Linked DNA regions of Anolis sagrei. Each later gene encodes a partner of the first gene's protein in a complex. Links are inferred from orthologs where the notes say so. Each region holds a gene or a part of one and is shown in the gene's direction. Other genes may lie near its edges.

Evidence for each region. The genes of interacting proteins can lie anywhere in the genome.
Region 2: OSGEP (region 1) and GON7 share a complex: the UniProt entries of both Homo sapiens proteins name them as parts of the EKC/KEOPS complex. The link is inferred for Anolis sagrei from reciprocal best matches to the Homo sapiens genes OSGEP and GON7.

What each region holds. Positions count from the first base shown.
Region 1 is NC_090026.1:13,544,079-13,551,447, reverse strand, and holds the start of OSGEP (tRNA N6-adenosine threonylcarbamoyltransferase), read left to right. Parts: upstream 1-4,360; 5' UTR 4,361-4,589; intron 4,590-6,667; 5' UTR 6,668-6,675; coding exon 6,676-6,790; intron 6,791-7,369. UniProt on the Homo sapiens protein: Component of the EKC/KEOPS complex that is required for the formation of a threonylcarbamoyl group on adenosine at position 37 (t(6)A37) in tRNAs that read codons beginning with adenine.
Region 2 is NC_090021.1:316,706,497-316,713,639, reverse strand, and holds the start of GON7 (EKC/KEOPS complex subunit GON7), read left to right. Parts: upstream 1-4,132; 5' UTR 4,133-4,227; coding exon 4,228-4,417; intron 4,418-7,143. Other genes in the region: putative E3 ubiquitin-protein ligase UBR7, read right to left, coding at 3,425-3,649. UniProt on the Homo sapiens protein: Component of the EKC/KEOPS complex that is required for the formation of a threonylcarbamoyl group on adenosine at position 37 (t(6)A37) in tRNAs that read codons beginning with adenine.

The sequences.
Region 1 (7,369 bases):
CCAGCAGTAATCAGCCGATCCCTCTGCAATGCCAGAAATACAGCTTAATGGTGTAACATTAGAAAATGTTGACCATTTCCGCTACCTTGGCAGCCACAAAAGTCAACGTTGACAATGAAATACAACATCGCCTGAGCTCTGCGAGTGCAGAATTTTTCCGAATGAAGCAGAGAGTGTTTGAAGACCGGGACATCCGTAGGGATAGAATCGTAGAATCATAGAGTTGGAAGAGACCTCATGGGCCATCCAGTCCAACCCTCTGCCAAGAAGCAGGAATATTGCATTCCAAGCACCCCTGACAGATGGTCATCCAGCCTCTGTTTAAAAGCTTCCAAAGAAGGAGCCTCCACCACACTCCGGGGCAGAGAGTTCCACTGCTGCACAGCTTCCACAGTCAGGAAGTTCTTCCTCATGTTCAGATGGAATCTCCTTTCTTGTAGTTAGAATACAAGGTGCTTGTTTATAAAGCTATTGTCCTCCCAACACTATTCTATGCCTACAAAAGGTGGACTATCTACAGATGTCACATGCAACTCCTGGAACGATTCCATCGGCGTTGCCTCCAAAAGAAATCCTGCAAATCTCTTGGGAAGACAAGCAGACAAATGTCAGCGTGCTGGAAAAAGCAAAGATCACCAGCATTGAAGTGATGGTCCTCCGCCATCAACTCAGCTGGACCAGCCACATTGTCTGACCACCGTTTTCCAAAGCAGTTGCTCTACTCCGAACTCAAGAATGGAAAATGGAATGTTGGTGGGCAGGAAAAGAGATTTAACGATGGGCTCAAAGCCAACCTTAAAAACTCTGGCATATATACGGAGAACTGGGAAGCCCTGGCCCTTGAGCGCTCCAGTTGGAGGTCAGTTGTGAGCAGCAGTGCTGTAGAATTTGAAGAGGCACGAATGGAGAGCAAAAGAAACGTGCCAAGAGGAAGGCGCATCAAGCCAATCCCAACTGGGACCGCCTTCCACTTGGAAACCAATACCCTCACTGCAGGAGAAGATGCAGATCAAGAATAGAGCTCCACAGCCACCTATGGACCCATCGCCAGGACACCGAACTTGGAAGACAATTTTACTTGGATGAGGGATCGCCTAAGTAAGTAAGTATCAACACACTAATCTCAGTACCAACAACTGAAAAAAACTATTTATATATACAAATGAGAAAGCACTCACAATTCTAAGACATAGTCCATTTTAAAAATATTTATATGGAGGGGAAAGTGTGTCCATCTCTACTGTCATATAATGCAGTCTGAAAGTGCATTATATGGGCAGTGTTGTAGACTTATAATTCCATATAATGCAGCCAACGGGCATTATATGACAGTGGCGATGGGGCTCTAGAACTGTAGAAACACAACAATTTGCTGTGTTTACTGGTTCATTTCGAGCATTTGTACCCCATCCTTAAGTGTTATCAAACTTGATTAATCTTCCAGCACCAACTGCTGCTCTAGGCCAGAGTGAAGAGAGAAGGTGCCAGAGGACAGTTCCATCTTATCTCTTACTTATGTGTCATCAGTATTTATTAATTTGTTGTTGCTGTTCATTCGTTCAGTCGTCTCCGACTCTTCGTGACCTCATGGACCAGCCCACGCCAGAGCTCCCTGTCGGCCGTCACCACCCCCAGCTCCTTCAAGGTCAGTCCAGTCACTTCAAGGATGCCATCCATCCATCTTGCCCATTTATTAATTTACAGTATTTATATTCAGCCCTTCTCACCCTGCAGAGGACTCGGGGCGGATTACAATGTACATATACATGGCAAACATTCAATCCCATAGACACAAAACATATATAGACAGACAGTAGAGGACCCCTCCCCCAGCACCAACTGCTGCTCTGGGCCAGAGTGAAAAGAGAGGGGGCCAGAGGACAGTTCTATCTTGTCTCCTGTGCTATGCTAATAATATAATGTAATGTAAAATAATATAGTGTACATACATATAATATTTATAATATGATAATGTAATGCAATAAGCTGTCAGCCCCAGCTTCTGCCAACCTAGCAGTTCAAAAACATGGAAATATGAGTAGATCAATAGGTACCGCTCAGGCAGGATGGTAACAGCGCTCCATACAGTCATGCCGGCCACATGACCTTGGAGGTGTCTACGGACAACGCCGGCTCTTTGGCTTAGAAATGGAGATGAGCAACACTCCCCAGAGTCAGACACAACTAGACTTAATGTCAGGGGAAAACCTTTACCTTTACTTTACTATGTCCATTGGGGCTTTCTTTTGAGCAAGTATATTTAGGGTGACGGCCTGAAATGTAAACTCCTGCTGTTAGGCCCAGCTTCTGTCAACCTAGCAGTTTGAAAACATGCAAATATGAGTAGATCAATAGGGAAGGCAATGGAGCTTCATGCAGTCGTGCTGGCCATGAGATCTTGGAGGTGTCTACAGACAACGCCGGCTCTTTGGCTTAGAAATGGAGATGCGCACCAACCCCCAGAGTCGGACACAACTGGACTTCATGTCAGGGGAAAATCTTTACCTTTAATGCAATATAATAATATGATAGTATAATTATATATGTATATTACATGTAATATTACTAATAAGATTACAGTATAATGGTATAGTACAATATAGTAGTATTTAATACTGATATTAGATGAAGGGTTAGAAGGCATGATCATCAAGTTTGCAGAGGACACCAAATTGGGAGGGATAGCCAATACTCCAGAGGACAGGAGCAGGATTCAAAACGATCTTGACAGATTAGAGATGGGCCAAAACTAACAAAATGAAGTTCAACAGTGACAAATGCAAGATACTCCACTTTGGCAGGAAAAATGAAATGCAAAGATACAGAATGGGGGACGCCTGGCTCGAGAGCAGTATGAGTGAAAAAGATCTAGGAGTCCTCGTGGACAACAAGTTAAACATGAGCCAACAATGTGATGTGGCGGCAAAAAAAGCCAATGGGATTTTGGCCTGCATCAATAGGAGCATAGTGTCTAGATCTAAGGAAGTCATGCTACCCCTCTGTTCTGTTTTGGTTAGACCACATCTGGAATATTGTGTCCAATTCTGGGCACCACAATTCAAGAGAGATATTGACAAGCTGGAAGGTGTCCAGAGGAGAGCGACTAAAATGATAAAAGGTCTGGAGAACAAGCCCTATGAGGAGCGGCTTAAGGAGCTGGGCATGTTTAGCCTGAAGAAGAGAAGGCTGAGAGGGGATATGATAGCCATGTATAAATATGTGAGAGGAAGCCACAGGGAGGAGGGAGCAAGCTTGTTTTTTGCTTCCTTGGAGACTAGGACGCGGAGCAATGGCTTCAAACTACAAGAGAGGAGATTCCATCTGAACATGAGGAAGAACTTCCTGGCTGTGAGAGCCGTTCAGCAGTGGAACTCTCTGCCCCGGAGTGTGGTGGAGGCTCCTTCTTTGGAAGCTTTTAAACAGGGGCTGGATGGCCATCTGTCAGGGGTGATTTGAATGCAATAGTCCTGTTTCTTGGCAGAATGGGGTTGGACTGAATGGCCCATGAGGTCTCTTCCAACTCTTTGATTCTATGATTGTACTATGTTAATAATATATTGGGGGTGAGAAGGGCGGCATAAAAATGCAAATAAATAAACAAATAAATAAATAATAGTGTAGAAGCACCCTCTGCAAAGATGGAAGTCCTTTTTTTTAGATCAAGGCAAAGCAAATTATTATTATTATTATTATTATTATTATTATTATTATATTGCACAGTAATTGATGCTTCTTCCTGGCTGCTACTCTTACCAGGCCAAGATCCCAAAAGCGCCCCTTGGAGACAATCCGCAGACAATTACTCCTTTTGGTAGAATGGAGAAAGCCAGGAGCACGTGGAGTCACTTGGTATCACGTGACAAGGGTTTCTGGGCTGTCCCGATGACGTCAGGGGGCGGGGTTAGCCGCCCAAGCCAATCGGAAAAGAGTCCAGAAGCGAAGGGGTTAAACACAACGCGGAAGAGAATGTGAGAAGCCCCGCCTTATCATGTGGAGAGGGACCAGTGGGCGGGGCTTGGCGCGCGATGACGTCACTATATTCTGTCCAGTCTGGGTTTTCTTTTTGCCCTAAGAGTAACAAGCTTTTATTGAAACTATACAACTAAGGTTCTCAATTGAACAATGAGGGGAAAAAAAGGAATACTGCAAATTAGAGAATCCAGAGATAGAAAGGGAAAATCCTCTATGTATGACATGCCCCTTTTCCTCATTAAAGTATTTCTTAATTGGGTTGCTGTGAGAATATTTCTTTATTCCTCTTCAGCCACTCATTCCCCGCATATGGCGGCTGTCGAATGCTAACCGGAAGTATTCATTGCAAGGTGTTGTTTCATTTTCCTATCTCTAGAAACATTTTCCTAAGAGGGAGAGGGAAGGAGTGAAGCAAATTTAACCCTTTCTCATCTGTCCTCCTCTGGGGCTTTCCACTTTCAAAGCAACTCTTCCTTTGGTTCAAAGTATATTATTTTCTTATTATAGATCCTAATATTCTCCAGTTGCCAAAACTGAGGTTTTGTTTACCTTTTTGAAGCAGAAAAATTGGAAAAAGCAAAAACAAAGGACAGGAAGGAGGATAAAATCTGCTGGAGGTAAGGAATAGAAAACAGGGGTGCACTGTAGGTTCTGGGTTGTTGCAAGTTTTTCAGGCTGTATGGCCATGTTCCAGAAGCATTCTCTCCTGAAGTTTTGCCTGCATCTATGGCAGGCATCCTCAGAAGTTGTGAGGTCTGTTGGAAACTATGCAAGTAAGTAAAATCACTCTCAACAAGGGATTCCCCCGGGCACTTCCAAGCCATTGAATGCTAATCGAGGTGATCAGATGAAACATTCACACCTAGCCCCAGCAGACAAAAGTCCTTTGTCTCACCTGGTCATTCCACAGATATATAAATCCATTTTTCCTACTTCCAACAGACCTCATTACCTCTGAGGATGCTTGCCATAGATGCAGGCGAAACGTCAGGAGAAAAATTGCCTCCAGAACATGGTCATATAGCTCGGAAAAACCTACAACAACCCTATGCAAGTAGGGTTTATATATCTGTGAAAGTCCAGGGTGGGAGAAAAAACTCTTGTCTGCTGGAGATAGGTGTGAATGTAACAATGGACCACCTTGATTAGCATTGAATGACCTAGCAGTTTCAAGATCTGGCTTCTTATTGCCTGGGGGAAATCCTTTGTTGAGAGGTGATTAGCTGGCCCTGATTGTTTCTTGTCCGGAGTTCCCCTGTTTTTGAGTGTTGTTCTTTATTTACTTTCTTTAACGTCAGGAGAGAATGCTCCTGGAACATAGCCATACAGCCCGGAAAACTCACAACAACCCCGTGATTCCGGACATGAAAGCCTTTGACAATACAGGGTTAGTCAAAATGAATAGGCCAATAAGAAAATTAATTGTACCTGAATGTATGTTTACTGTAACCAAACCACAGCTACGTAGCGACAGATAAACTATCAAAGTTTTTTTTGAGCAACACACATGTACGTTAATGCCGCTAGGCGTCGCTAGGAGTTGCTGTTTTCAAAATGGCGGAATCAGGCAAAGAGAAGGCTGCATTCGATGCCATTACGTCGGATGTGCTGCAACGGATGTGGAATGAACTGGACTATCGCTTGGACGTCTGCCGTGTCACACGGGGCGCCCATATCGAACATCTCTGAAGGTGAGACAAAACTTTGATAATTTATCTGTCGATACGTAGCTGTAGTTTGGTTACAATAAACATACATTAGTCTAAAATTAATTTTCTTATTGGCCTATTCATTTTGACTAACCCTGTATATTAAACAAAACTTGTTTTATAAAGAGTAACGTCAGAAGAGAATGCTTCTGGAACATGGCCATACAGCCCAAAAAACTTGCAACAACTCAGTGATTCCGGCCACGAAAGCCTTCAACAATACACCATAGGCTCTATTTCGGAGGAAAGAATGCGTCAAACCATTCCTTGCCTTGGGCACCATCTACACTGCCTGCTTAATTCAGTTCGAAGCTACATTCAAACTGCAATAGCCAGGCAACACACTCCCATGAAAGTATGCAAAAGAAAAGCCCCTTGATGTGCATCAATGCTGTGACGTTTGTGTAATCACCATCTGGACCTGCACAGACAAACCACTTTCTTCAATACCTGTTTGAAACCGAGTTAAATGGTTGGTGTAGATGGAACGTAAGAATCATAGATTTGGAAGAGACCTCAGGTATCCAGTCCAACCCCCTACCAAGAAGCAGGAAAATCGCATTTAAAGCACCCCCAACAGATGGCCATCCAGCCTCTGCGTAAAAGCCTCCCAAGAAGCCTCCACCATACTACGGTGCAGAGAGTTCCACTGCTGAATGGCTCTCAAAGTTAGGAAGTTCTTCCTAATGTTCAGGTGGGATCTCCTTTCCTCTAGTTTGAAAAACCCTATGAAATTACTGAGATCATGGGAAATTTAATATAGAACGAGTGATAGCTGCAGATTCCTTTTGTTCCATAGCTTAATAATAATATGTAATATTTCTGAATATTTATTCTACTTTCCCTTGACCCTTACTAGGCTAAATAGGCTAGCCTAAATAGGACCCAGTTTCCAAGATGGATAAGAACTCTTAATCCTTTCCCCATCACAGCACCAATTCCCTATGATGAAAAGTTAATATTGTATTGTTTCTCTGGCTTTCAAGGACACAATATGCCTGTGATTATTGGTTTCGAGGGCAGTGCCAATAAGATTGGCGTTGGGATTGTACGGGATGGAGAGGTGCTCAGCAACCCCCGAAGGACATACGTCACTCCTCCAGGGCAGGGTAAGTATCCTGTGTATGATGCTATGCCAGGTATACAAAGATGCATCACATTGTTGTATGACTTCAAGTCATTTCCAACTTATGGCAATCCTAAGGTGAACCTGTCACAGGGTTTTCTGGGGCAGAGAGTAAGTTATTTGCCCAAGGTCATTGAATTACTGTTCTTGGCTGAATCCTGGTCTCCAGAGTCATAATCCAACACTTAGAGCACTATACTATTATTCTGGACACCAAAATTGAAGGGAGATGGTGACAAGCTGGAATGTGTCTAGAGAAGGGTGACTAAAATGATCAAGGGTCTGGAGAACAAGCCCTGTGAGGAGTGGCTTAAAGAGCTGAGCATGTTTAGCCTGCAGGAGAGAAGGTGGAGAGGAAACATGAGGGCCATGTATAAATATGTGAGAGGAGTAGGCCTGTTTTCTTCTGCCCTGGACACTAGGACAATGGCTACAAACTACAAGAAAGGAGATTCCATCTGAACATTAGGAAGAACTTCCTAACTGTGCAAGCTCTTCAGCAGTGGAACTCTCTGCCCCTGAGTGTGGTGGAGGTTCCTTCTTTGGAGGCTTCTAAAAAGAC
Region 2 (7,143 bases), on another chromosome or scaffold:
GAGAGAGGAAATTAAGCCAATCTTCATGTGTGTTTGTGTGTGTGTGTGTGTGTGTGTGTGGGATGGGGGGGGGGCGGGGGACTCCTGGGACAAGAACATTGGAGGAGCACTAGCATAAAATTATGTGGCTATTCTTCGAAAGCGCGACGGCAGACAAACTTTAATTGTTTGTCACAATTAAAGTTGGCACACAAACTTTAATTGTGCAAAGGCCCTCCTAGCCTCTGCAGATACCTGCTTCCAGGTTCAGCACTGAGTACAGTAGGGTCCTCAAACTGCGGACCTATTTCTTCAGGGGGAGTGTAACCCCATGCAGCACAGGTTGGATCCCTATTCCTGGTCTGCCTTCCAACTGACCAGGAGTACCTCTGTCTTGTCTAGATTAAGTTTCAATTTGTTTGTCCTCATCCAGTCCATTACTAATAACAGGCACTGGTTTAGGGTCAGGACAGCTTCCTTCCCTTTAGGTGGAAAGGAGTAGTAGAGTTGGGTGTCATAGGCATACAGCTGGTACCATACTCCAAAAGTCCTGATTACTTCTCCCATTAACTTCATGTATATGTTGAATAGCATGAGGAACAACCCTGAGCCTGAGAAACCCCAAAGGTCAACGGCCAGGAGTCCACCAGCACCACTTTCTGGGTATGGCCCTCCAGGAAGGACGGAGCCACTGTAAAACAGTGCCTCCAATTCCCATACTAGCAAGACGAACCAGAAGGATACTATGGTCAATGGTATCAAAAGCCAATGAGATCTCCAGTAGGGATTTCCCCCCCCCCCAAAAGGTGCCAAATCTATCTGAACAAATTGCACAGGAACCAAAAAGAATGTGTTGAGGATGGGCTTTCTTTTGCTATAAAATGCAATTTTCCAAGCCGGTACTGAAGTGTTTTGGTACATTTTGATAATTTTGATATTGGCTGCTGATACGTGACACCTGTATGAGGGAAAGGAAGGGAGGAAGAAGTGAGAGAGAAGGGGTCAAAATTGGGGGAAAGGTACCTGTGAATTCATAATTTTGTTATTATCCCTCAATTTTAGTAACATCTTTATTATTTTAATGTGAATGTTTTAGTATTTAAACATTTAACACCATTTTAATTACCTTATTTAATATTGGGTTTTAAACTCTGTTTTAACATTGTTTCCTGATATCCGGATGTGTGTGTAACCTGATGCTTGTATACTTCTGTACTTGTGCTTGTACATGTGTGCGTACTCTGACACTTACACACCCTGTCACTTGTACTTTTTTTATGCTGGTCATTGACCGTAATAAATGTTTATATATTTTTTTAAAAATGTGAATGTTGATTTTATTTTTTGTGAGACTTGGGTCGTTTTGGTTATTTACTTCTTTGTCCAGCACCTTGCAGCATTTAATGTTTGCCTGTGATGGTTGCGGGACCGCGAGCAGGGCCTCCCCATTAGATCATCACCTCCGCTATGGTTCATTGGGGGAGATGCGTTCGGACAGGTGCTATGCTGTCGCACGCTGGGCCTGTGCATAAGACAGTAGACAGGACATAAATTCTGTGTGCCCAATAGGACGCCGGGGCTGCCTCAGATTAAAGGCCTTTGGATTTCCTTAAACAGAGTCTCTAGAGTACTTAAAGGTTCAACAAAGTTCTTTATTTATGAAAACAAACAGGTATTTCAAGGCTTTCTTAACAGTCTATAGCAGGGGTCCTCAAACTAAGGCCCGGGGGCTGGATGCGGCCCTCCAAGGTCATTTACCCGGCCCTCACTCAGGGTCAATCTAAGTCTGAAACTACTTGAAAGCACATAACAATCCTATCTCATCAGCCAAAAGCAGGCCCACATTTCCCATTGAAATACTAATAAGTTTATATTTGTTAACATTGTTCCTCATTTTAATTATTGTATTGATTTTAAGTGTTTTTTGCACTGCACATATCTTACTATACATATCTGCACATATCTTACTAAAATAAGATATGTGCAGCGTGCATAGGAATTCATTCATGTTTTTTTTTTCCAAATTGTAATCCAGCCCTCCAACAGTTTGAGGGACTGTGACCTGGCCCTCTGTTTAAAAAGTTTGTGGACCCCTAGTCTATAGGCTCTTTCAATCTTGTCCACAGGGAACAGGCACTATCTTCATGACTGGTATTTTAACTAATGGGGAAATCCTTAACTTCTAATCTGGGCAATCTGTCTTTACCTCTGTTGGCATGGAGCCCCTACACCTGGTACCAACTGCGTCTGGCTTCTGTGAGTGACCCTTACCAAGCAGAGCTTTGTAGACTTCCAGGGAAAAAAGAGTTCAGGTTTCGGTGATGGCTGGCTGAAGTCCCCCAGCAAAGGAGCTGTAAGGCTGTATGATCCTCGGCCAAGCTGTGGGCTGTATAACCCCAGCCAAGCTGTAGAAGACGAAGCTTTCTACAGGAGCTCTTGGTATTATTATTATTATTAAAGGTAAAGGTAGTCCCCTGACATTAAGTCCAGTCATGTCTGACTCTGGGGTGTGGTGCTCATCTCCATTTCTAAGCCGAAGAGTCAGCGTTGTCCGTAGACACCTCCAAGGTCATGTGGCCGGCATGACTGCATGGAGCGCCGTTACCTTCCCGCCGGAGCGGTACCTATTGATCTACTCACATTTGCATGTTTTCGAACTGCTAGGTTGGCAGAAGCTAGGGCTGACAGCGGAAGCTCACGCCGCTCCCCGGAATCGAACCTGTGACCTTTCGATCAACAAGCTCAGCAGCTCAGTGCTTTAACCCACTGCGCCACGGGGGGCTCCATTATTATTATTATTATTAAACTTTATTTGTACTCTGCTAGCATCTCCCGAAGGACTCGATGCGGCTTACAAAGGCCAAGGCCTCAAACAACAACAGACAATAACAATATAAGACAAGCAAATTAAAAACATAAGCAATAAGAACAACAACATTACACTATGGTATTATGTCCAGCATATGTCCTGAACTCAAACTGGCTCCTATTCCCTCCAAAACCTAAAAAGGGGGCGGGACCAGGGAACCTAACTATAATTGACAGGTGGCTTGCCCTATGATTGCAAACTGTAATAGGAATGCTGCAAAATCCTAAGCCTGGGATTGCAAACAAACATTGAATGCAAAGCAAACAACATTGGAGCTCCTGGTACAGCTGTACCTGCACAGGTGCTGTTATCAAGTTGGTTTGTGGTGGAAAGAGGCTTCAGGGTCCGAGTGCAGCAGTGGAGGTGGAGCAACATGGGGGGTGGAAAAGGAGACAAAAAGGGGGGAATGGTACTGAGGAGACAGAAGGAAAGAAAAGAAAGAGAAAGGAAGATGAGGGGGAAAGGTGTGGGAGGGAAAGCAGGGAAGAAAAGGAGGGGGAAATAGAGGAAAGCACCGCAGACCACACTAACATGGGCGGTTTCCCCCTGCCTGCCCCTGAGAGGCCTCCTCCTCACCTGGGAGTAGCTGCACCTCTCGTGGTCGCTGCCTCCCAGCACGGCGCGCGCCTCCTGCTCGAGCTGCTCGCTCTCGGCCAGCACCTCGGCCAGCGACACCACGGGCTCCTCGCCGCTCCGCTCTTCTCCCTCCTCGGCAGCGGCGGCGCTCTCCTTGGGCCTGTCGTCCCCTTCCTCGCCTTTGCCGGAGTTCGAAGCCGCAGCTGCCGGCGCCTCCTTCTCCATCTTGCTGACAGAAACAATACTAAGACAAGCAGGAAGAGAAGGGGGGAAAAAAAGGCGGGAAAACGCCCCAACCACCGGAAGCGGAAACGAAAGTTGCCGCGACGCTCACGGATCTCAAGAGGGGAGAGACCAAAAAAAAGGAAAAGGGATGTGTCACGTGTCACGCGGGAGCCAATCAAAGCTAGAGGACGGAGGAAAGCTGAGCACTTGGGTGCGGAATCACGTGAGCCGCGAAGGGCCAATCAGGGCCGGGCAGATCTGCGAGAGCCAATCAGAGCCTCTAAAGACGGCGAAATGTTAACTATGCAGACTGTGATGTTGAGATCATAAGAGGGAAAGAAAAGGGAGCAGAATCACGTGAGACCACTGAGCCAATCGGAATCAATCAGAGCTAGAAGGAGGCGAGGCTGGAGAAAACAACGCACAACAGCTAGGGAAGAGACTGGGCGGGGCTCTGACGTCACGCTGGTGGGTGTGGCCAAAGGAGGACGACTTGGGTTTCCTCTCTCCGAGAAAGTTCTGCTTCCGGTTCAAAGCGGTGAGGAGATTGGTTGCCTAGCCACGTCGGGAAGGGCGAGATGGAGCTGCGGGCGGAGCTGACAGGCCGCGGAGGGGAGAAGCGACCGCTGCGGGTCTCTTGCGAGCCTCCGGGGGAGCTGCGGGGCCTCCTCGGGGGCTTGGCACGCCTTCGGGAGCAAGTCAGCGCCCTCCTCGGCCCACTGGTCGAGCAGGAGAGCCGCGCCGGCGGAGAGCCGGGCGCGGGTGCAGGTGAGGGCCCCGCAGGCCTTGGCAGAGGGCCCGCCTATGTGCAGGGAGCATCTACACCAGGCATGGTCAAACCTCGGCCCTCCAGGGGTTTTGGACTCCAACTCCCACAATTCCTATCAGCCTCGGGCCCCTTCCTTTTCCCCCTCAGCCGCTTAAGCGGCTTGACCATATATGCCATCTTTCTTCTTATCTTCTATCTGTTGTTGTTCATTCGTTCAGTCGTCTCCGACTCTTCGTGACCACATGGACCAGTGCACGCCAGAGCTCCCTGTCGGCCGTCACCACCCCCAGCTCCTTCAAAGTCAGTCCAGTCACTTCAAGGATGCCATCCATCCATCTTGCCCTTGGTCGGCCCCTCTTCCTTTTGCCTTCCACTTTCCCCAGCATAATTGTCTTCTCTAGGCTTTGCTGTCTCCTCATGATGTGGCCAAAGTACTTCAACTTTGTCTCTAGTATCTTTCCCTCCAGTGAGCAGTCGGCCTTTATTTCCTGGAGGATGCACTGGTTGGATCTTCTCGCAGTCCAAGGCACTCTCAGCACTTTCCTCCAACACCACAGCTCAAAAGCATCGATCTTCCTTCGCTCAGCCTTCCCTAAGGTCCAGCTCTCACATCCGTAGGTTACTACAGGGAATACCATGGCTTTGACTAGGCGGATCTTTGTTGCCAGTGTGATGTCTCTACTCTTTACTATTTTATCGAGACTGGACATTGCTCTCCTCCCAAGAAGTAAGCGTCTTCTGATTTCCTGGCCACAGTCTGCATCTGCAGTAATCTTTGCAACTAGAAATACAAAGTCTGTCACGGCCTCCACAATTTCTTCCTCTATTTTCCAGTTGTCAATCATTCTTGTTGCCATAATCTTGGTTTTTTTGATGTTTAGCTGCAACCCAGCTTTTGCGCTTTCTTCTTTCACCTTGATTAGAAGGCTCCTCAGCTCCTCCTCGCTTTTGGCCATCAGAGTGGTGTCATCTGCATATCTGAGGTTGTTAATGTTTCTTCCAGCAATTTTCACCCCAGCTTTGCATTCATCAAGCCCCGCACATCGCATGATGTGTTCTGCATACAAGTTAAAAAGGTTGGGTGAGAGTATGCATCCTTGCCGTACGCCTTTCCCAATCTTGAACCAGTCTGTTGTTCCGTGGTCAGTTCTTACTGTTGCTACTTGGTCCTTGTACAGATTCCTCAGGAGAGAGACAAGGTGACTTGGTATGCCCATCCCACCAAGAACTTGCCACAATTTATTATGATCCACACAGTCAAAGGCTTTAGAATAGTCAATGAAGCAGAAGTAGATGTTTTATAGATCTATCTATCTATATAAATAAAAATGTAATGTTCGTTTGTGGGATCAACATAACTCAAAAAACACTGGAGGAATTGACACCAAATTGGGACACAAGACACCTAACAGTCTAACGAGTATCCATCTCTCATAAATCCCCCCCCCCCAAAACAGTGGAAAGGACTTTAAAACCCCAAAAATGCTAAATGATGAAAAACTAAATGACAATACAGAAAAAGGGAAGGAAGGGGAGAAAGAAAATAAGAAAGAAAGAGGGAGGGAAAGAAAGAAGGAAGGAGAAGGAAAAGAAAAGGTGGGGAGAAAGAAAGGAGAGAAGGAAAGAAAATAAGGGAAGGAAGGAGGGAAAGGGAAAGAAAGAGGGAGAGAAGGAAAGACAGAAGGAAGAAAAGAGGTAGAGAAGGAAGAAAGGAGAAGAAAAAAGGGAAAGAAAAGGGGAGGGGAAGGAAGGAAAGAGGGAGAGAAGGAAGGAGAGAAAGAAAGAAAAAAGGGAAGGAAGGAAAGAGCGAGGGAAGGAGAGAAAGAAAGAAGAGAAAGTGGCGGGTACAGCTAGTATATAAATAAAAATGTAATGTTTGTTTGTGGGATTAACATAACTCAAAAACCACTGGACAAATTGCCCAAGGAGTGACCATCACTCAAAAAAATTAATTTTGTCATTTGGGAGTTGTAGTTGCTGGGATTTATAGTTCACTTACAATCAAAGAGCATTCCGAACTCCACCAACAATGGAATTGAACTTGGCACACAGAACTCCTATGACTGACAGAAAATACTGGAAGGGTTTGATGGGCATTGACCTTGAGTTTGGAAGTTGCAGTTCACTTACATCCAGAGAGCGCTGTGGACTCAAACAATGGTGGATCTGGACCAAACTTGGCACAAGCACTCAATATGCCCAATTATGAACACAGATGGAGTTTGGGGGGAATAGACCTTGGCATTTGGGAGTTGTAGTTACTGGGATGTATAGTTCAGTTACAATCAAAGAGCATTCTGAACCCCAGCAACTAGAGAATTGGGCCAAACTTCCCAGACAGAACCCCCATGGCCATTGAGTCCAACTCCCTTCACCAGGGCAAGAAAACGTAATCAAAGCCCTCCTGACAAAGAGCCATCCAGCCATAGATATAGATAGATATATATGAGTAACACACACAAGTATAGTATCATAGATTTGAAAGGGACCTCTAAAGAAGAACAATTATATGTTGCGTGTTCCAGAGTAGGCAAACCAGACAATCTCCATATGAACACTGACAAAGAAACAAAAAATACTGTTTACCCACAAGCATAAAGAAATTACATATATTAGAAACCAACACCTTCTCATTACTTTATTTTCCAGATCACGAGACTGGGCCACAGCAACGCGTGGCAGGGGTTAGCTAGTCTATATAAATAAAAATGTAATGTTTGTTTGT